2 linked regions of the Xenopus tropicalis genome follow. Each later gene encodes a partner of the first gene's protein in a complex. Links are inferred from orthologs where the notes say so. Each region holds a gene or a part of one and is shown on either strand. Other genes may lie near its edges. The genes, in order: plekhm1 and map1lc3c.

Region 1 (3,832 bases):
TCTTATCTCCAAGAGTTTTTCCAATAATCTAATTTCATGTGTTCCTAGGCCTCTCCAACCCTTTCCGTGGTCTCCTAATGATGGGAGACCTCGAGAGAAGAGCCTTGGGGATGTATAAAAGCTTTTACTGCGAGCTGACTCCCATAGAGTTTCGCATGTTCCTGAAAGGAGAGGACCGAGTCTGTTTGGAGAATTGCACCCTGATACGATGCGAATCTGTTGGCCCAGTGCAGAGTGATGGCCGCTTTGATTTAAATTTTCCAGCGAAAAGGTTCCATTTGCGAGCCCCCTCAAGGGATGAGGCTCAAGACTGGGTTGACAGGATACGGGAAGCCTTACAAAAATGCCGCCCTCAGAAGGATGACACGTGGGAAGTTTTACAGTTCCCAGACCCTCCCAAAACAGGCCAGGAAAGCCCGCTCCTGTCTCCTCAAAGGAGCCCATCATCTCCTGTTGGAAGCATAAAGACTGAGTCATTTGATTGGGTCTGTCCATTGAAATTGGAGCCTGATGCATTAAAAGAGTCTGTGTTGTACATGAAGATGGATAAAAAATGGACGCGCTGCATTTTCTCCTTAACAGAAAGGGAGCTGAGGTGTTACTTAGCCAAGAACTCTGAGAAAGTTTTACACAACATATTTGGTATTGAGATGGTGAGAGACATTCTGCCTGATGCCAGTCTCGGAAGCCCATCCTGCTTCAAACTGGTCACGTCCAAAGGTTCTCTGCAACTGCAGGCTGAGAGCTCTAGCGAGGCCAAACACTGGAGGGAGATGGTGCGAGATGTTTACTTGGAACTGGCAGATGAGCTGGCATTACTGGCGGGCACTGCTAGCTTCCCGATAAAGTCCCACATCCGGGGGCATGCACTGTTTCAGTACTTGTTGTACATTCCCTCTGAGAAAGGCTTAGACTCCCAGAACTTTAAATGTGCAGGTCAGAGAAGCCTCTTTTATGGTTGGCAATCAAATTGTACCCTTCTACATGTGGTCCTACTGCACGTAGGACTTGTAGTTCAACTATGCCTAGAGGGCTACAGTTTGCCCAGCCCTGTTTGATGCACTTAGTACATTTGCTACACAGATTAACTTGCAATTCTTTCCTTTTCAGCTTGCCACAAACAGATTGGTTTTCAGTTTGGAAAGGCCAAACATTGCGCTTATTCAGCACTTTACTACTGTGAGTGGTGCCATCAGGATGAGGGCTCCGTCATTCCTTCAAGAATGGTGCACAACTGGGACCTCACAGAGCAAGCCGTGAGTAGGACAGTCTTTTCATGAAAAGGAATTATATGCTCATCCGAAGATTTCAATGAAACAGTGGCTTCTACTTGTCACAATGGCTTATGCTGAACATTGTAATACTAAGAGGTCTGTAAATCTCTTAAATAGACTGGGGGCCATAAAAATCGCTTTGAGAGCCTCATCTGGAGTCAGGGCCTTCGGGTGGACAGCCTTGTAGTATATAAATATATACATAAAAAAAAAATTACTGTCAACCTTTGTATAAATAGGTTCACATACTCATTAGGTCACAAAATGAGCGGATCTTTACCTGAAGTGCTGAGCCACATCTTTTGACCCCCTAGCCAACAGTTGGGTTTATAATGAGGGCCTGAATTTATGTCTGCAAGTAGCGGAATCTAGTATTCAAGATTTTTGGGGGGAGGAGAGAAAACTTTTAATTGTAAGCATTAGAAAATAAAAGGTGTTTATCAGTGGGCAGTGTACACATATCTTGCTTTGGTTACAGACATCCTTTTTTGCCTCCGTACGAACACATTGCCTTTTTTGTTCCACCAGGTATCGAGACCAGCATTAAAATTCCTCAATATGGTGCTCAATGAACCAATCATAAATGTGCCGTCTGTCAATAGCGGCCTGTATCAGCACTCGCACACTATGCACAATATCAGCCACAGCCGAGAGAAACTGAGGCTCCTGGCAGAATACCTGCAGACCTGTCGTAGTGGAGCATTTCAGGAACTAAGCAAGAGGTGGGTAGCGGGAAGCCCAGCCTAAAGGACAAACTGCAGTCAGGTAGAGAGACATCTTGATGTCTGTCTTAGATATTTTCCATGCTACAGCTGTAGTTTTCATGTATTTATAACTCTGTTAATGAGTAAAGGGGGCCTTGGCCAGTGATGGACCATAAGGGGCCATTTGACAACCCGGAAAGACTGAAAGCCACTGATCAGTGGGTTCCAAACGCAAAAGGTTGGTAGATCTGATTTTCTTGGAGTTTACTGGAGAGTGATCCATGAAAATCTAGTTGGTTTTTGACACTTATTTATCTCAGTAAAATATTGAGCCACAAGCATGAAGGACATTGTTGTTTTACCATGCTTGCAGACCGTGCCATTGAACAACTTATTTAATGATTTCCTTACTAGAAAAAGTCAATATATACCTCCGAAACAAGGGAACAAGAGGGAGTTAACATTGTTTGTGCTCTATGCTTTGTGCCTATGTAACGAATGATAGCTAAGGAAAGTTATCATCTCTGGTAAGCAGGCAGACACAAGGTTGCCTACCCAACCTTTATTTGGCTGAAAATCGGCCATATGTCAGTCGGGCAGGTTTAATATATACCTCATCGGCTCATTAATGTGGTCCTTGCTCTGACAGCTCATATTCCTGATAGGGATGCACTGAATCCAGGATTCAGTTTAGGATCCGGGCAAGATTCAACCTTTTTCAGCAGAATTCGGATTCAGCCAAATCCATGCCTCTGGCCGTACAGAAGCCACATTTTTAAAATCATGTGATTTTTTTGTCACATAAATTAGGATTCACATTCGGTTCGGTATTCAGCTGTATCTTGTACAAATAATTCGGGGTTTGCGTAATTTACAACATAGTGGATTCGGTGCATCCCTAATTCCTGTCATAGTAATGTGAGAGCCACTCAGATAAGCCTGATATCGCCCTCCTTAGGTAAAACACTCCTTTAAGCATTAGCAGAGTTAAAAAAAAAAAGCAGTTACTGCTCCAAAATGTAATCAGATTGCCACCTAGTGGAGTAATGGGATAGGCCTGCTGTTCCCAATACATTATCGCAAGCCTGCTTTGGTTTTAACGATTTCAAAGGGGCATCAGACATTGGAGTGAAGGGCTGGATTTGATGAGTGAAGGGCTGGATTTGATGAGTGAAGGTTTTTTCACCCTCGGCTACTATGTTAAATGTATATTATGACTTCCCCCCAATCCCCATAACTTAGGAATCTTTGAAACAAACATAAATCTCAATAAATTCTGATAACTATCTATATGTCATATTTACGGTCTTACGTATAATCACATGCACTGGTTACTTTTAGCTCTTCTGTTGCTAATATGTTACATAGTTAGTTACATAGGGTTGAAACAGTGCCCGTTATGGATCCAATGTGTCCTTTTTTAATAAATATTTTCTTATTCTTTTGTTCAGCCTGGATAACCGCACCTACCTACTGGATTGTGCACACACCTATAGTGTCCAGGATTTCAGGCAGGTATGGCAGCTTTCATTATCTAATTAAGATAAAGTGCTCAAATAGGGGAACTAGACACTTTATTTCCTGTAAAACAAAACAGGCCAGCTTCAGTTTCTTTCACATTTCATTACTGTTGATCCACGTTACCCCATTACCTGTTGTAGATTGCCAACGGGGAATTCGAACTGTTTCTGGGAGCCGCTGTGGATTTGGCCACCAAGCATGTGTATGATTGTGATCTTTGCAGCCAAAAAGGTTTTATCTGCCAAATCTGCAACCAGGATGAGATCATTTACCCCTTCCAGTTTGAAACGACCACCAGGTAAGGGAGACACTTAGCCATGAAGTGGTTTCAAT
Region 2 (3,062 bases), on another chromosome or scaffold:
AAGAGAACTGTTTGGTATTCGGCCAAATCTTTTACAAAGGATTTGGGGTTCAGCCGAATCCAAAAATAGTGGATTCTGTGCATCCCTATTGAAAAATGCCACATTTGTGACCTGAGTTTGGGAAAGAGAAGCTGTGAAAGAGAAAAATGTGAGATTGCTAGAAAGCAACAAGTGTGGATCCAGTTTTGGCGGCGAATATGAAAAGTGGTAACCTAACTGAAGGGAACTGTTATTATAAAAAAACTCCTACTGAGAATTGGAACTGACGTGTGACAAGTAAAATTGTGATATTTATGATTGTACTGGTGTGACAAGAGTTAATAAAGTATTTGGGGATAGACAACAGCTCCCTGCACCTTTACTGGAGGAACTGTGACATAGGAAAGGACTCTTGGTGAGAGGAAGGCAAGTTGTTTTATTACTATGCTAACCAACTTGCACTTCTCCCATGCTCTCAGCATATCACGGTGATTACAGTACTGATTAATTGGCCTTCCAACCACTCAGTAAGTATTCTTTCTCTGCTTTGCCAAACCCGGCAAATCCACTACCATTCAGAATAAAATATGAACTAATAACCCTCACAATTAAAGCACTCCATAACTCTGCCCCACTTTACATCTCTGAACTCCTCTCCAGATACTTGCCAAACCATTTGCTATGCTGCTGTAATGACCTGCTCCTGATAACCTCTCTCATTACTTCCTCGCACCCTTGCATTCAATACTTTTGCAAGAGCTGTACCCCTTCTCTGGAATTCTCTACCATATTTTGTTGAATCTCTGTCTCTGAAAGATTTCTTGAAGGACAAGGAAAGGTTAAACAAAAAAAAAAAAAAAAAGTATAGCCATGGCATGTAGATATACTATGAAGGATTTCTCTTTAGGAGTTATTCAGAATGATTATTCACTTTTAAAATAAGTTAAAAGATGCTGTGGAAAGTTTATCTTCTGTACCAGAAATGAGCTGATTCAGGGTACATGCATGCACATTTAATCTCTCAGAAGCTATGGGCAGGTGCAGAAATGTATATTATTTTCCTATTCTATTCAGGGTGTCCTAATGCCTCCTGCTTTTAGAATGTAAGCTCCTTTGGGCAGGGCCCTCTTTACCCTTCATATTTGCTTTTGTATGTTAAATATAAACACCCATTTATTATACAGAATGTGAAGGCATTTTATAACATAACCACTATATTACTGTTACCATACTACTAATGATTCTTATTGGGTACAGAAAAAAATCTTTAAATGTGTGTTTTTTCTTTGTGCAGGAATCGCATGAACTTATCTGCTACACAAGCATTTTACCTTCTTGTGAATAACAAGAGCCTTGCCAGCATGTCACTTACGATGGCTGAGCTTTATAGGGACCATAAGGATGAAGATGGTTTCCTATATATGACATATGCATCTCAAGAGATGTTTGGTTGAATGCATATCACAAAAAAACGAGGACAATCTTTGTACTAAGAGGGGCCCAGATATGTACATGTGTAAATTCTAGACCCTAGTATTATATTATTATTTAAATTTACACCTTAAACATTTTTGGTCATTATTATAACATGGGCTGGAACTTAGAAGTATATGGCTATAGTGTACAATACTTTTTATTGAAATGTTTTCACTTAAAGGAACCTTTTATGTATGTTAAATATTTATTGAGCATCCTTTTAGAAAAGTCAAAAGATAATGCTTTTGTAAATTTATTGTAATAAAGGATTTAAAATATTTTATTTTTACAGAATTTTTTTGCAGATTCTATGTAGTACTAAACACAACTGTTTTCTCTAACTTAGAACAATTTTGTTTTTAGATAGACTTCCCCTTCACATGAAATAGTATTTGGGGTTATTGTGTATAACAGACTTTGCTCTGCACAGTATAAGTCAGTAGCTGCAGAAGCATAAAGTACTCTCTGCATAGAAAGGGCATTGACGGAATGCTTTTGCCTCTATATATTTCTTGTAAGACCTGGGCTTGGGTATGTATTGCAGCTTTGGGTACCACATCAAAATGTATATGTATTAATAACATGCAGCTAAAATTAATGGGCACGTGCTATTAGCAGAGAAGAGTTTGTTTTCTGTGGGGAAGAAGAATTTCTAAGAAGACACTTTTTTTAACACTGAAAAGAAAAAAAGAAGCCATCCCTTCTTTCACCTGAAGCAGTACAAATGGTTATTCACTGTTAGGACAGGGTGGGCTGTAAGGTTCCTAGGTTCTTTCTGGCTGTTTTTTTGTTTTTTTTTTTACTTCTGTATTTCCAATGTGCAATAGTGTATTTGTGTTTATGAAAAAACTCTGGCCAATCAAGAGGTTTTTGTTTTACATATATCACAAGAGGTTACTGCACAAAATCAGTCAGCCTAATGCTAAATAAAATCTCTTCATAAAATAACTACTGCCTTAATTTAACTGTGGAGGGTGTCAAAAATAGTTATTGTTAATTTACTGATTTGCCTATTTACCAATTAATCCAACACCTGGATATACTGCCTGATTATGTATGTATGTATGTGGGATAGCTTGGTTTGTATTGGCTATAAACAGGAACAGATCATAGTTAAATCTGGTTGAAAAAAAAACCCAAGTTCAAATCTTTCCATCGAACCCCAGCGCGCACACCTATACTGACCTATCTATACACTTGCATACATAAACTACAGTATATATACCAACATTAATACTAATTGCACATTTTAGTTTCCCAATAGCCTTGGATATTTTTGTTCAAGAACTCACCCAAGCCCTCCTTAAAAGCATTAAAAGAATCTGCCATCACATCACTAGGAAGGGCATTTCACAACCTCACCGTGAAAAACCACCTACGCTGCTTCAAATGGAAGTTCCGTTCCTCTAATATAAAGGGGTGATCTCTGGTGCACTGGTCCTTTTTATAGGAAAAAAGAACATCCCCTATCTGTCTATAATCCCCTCAAAAGTACAGTACTTGTACAGAGTAATCATGACCCCTTGCAAGCGCCTCTCTTCCAGAGAAAACAACCCCAACCCTGACACTCTAACCTTATAGTTGAAATCTTCCATCCCCTTCACCAG

The links.
Region 2: the proteins of plekhm1 (region 1) and map1lc3c are in contact, whole or in part, in a crystal structure (PDB 5DPW), measured with the Homo sapiens proteins. The link is inferred for Xenopus tropicalis from reciprocal best matches to the Homo sapiens genes PLEKHM1 and MAP1LC3C. Residues at the interface, in NP_055613.1 of Homo sapiens: Glu632, Asp633, Glu634, Trp635, Val636, Asn637, Val638, Gln639, Tyr640; in NP_001004343.1 of Homo sapiens: Phe13, Arg16, Lys17, Glu25, Ile29, Phe33, Lys36, Pro38, Asp54, Lys55, Thr56, Lys57, Phe58, Leu59, Val60, Pro61, Glu63, Leu64, Ile72, Arg76, Phe114.

The regions. Positions count from the first base shown.
Region 1 is NC_030686.2:37,773,507-37,777,338, forward strand, and holds part of plekhm1 (pleckstrin homology domain-containing family M member 1), read left to right. Parts: intron 1-48; coding exon 49-936; intron 937-1,110; coding exon 1,111-1,256; intron 1,257-1,802; coding exon 1,803-1,996; intron 1,997-3,429; coding exon 3,430-3,493; intron 3,494-3,639; coding exon 3,640-3,797; intron 3,798-3,832. UniProt on the Homo sapiens protein: Acts as a multivalent adapter protein that regulates Rab7-dependent and HOPS complex-dependent fusion events in the endolysosomal system and couples autophagic and the endocytic trafficking pathways.
Region 2 is NC_030681.2:57,421,513-57,424,574, reverse strand, and holds the end of map1lc3c (microtubule-associated proteins 1A/1B light chain 3C), read left to right. Parts: intron 1-1,273; coding exon 1,274-1,433; 3' UTR 1,434-2,400; downstream 2,401-3,062.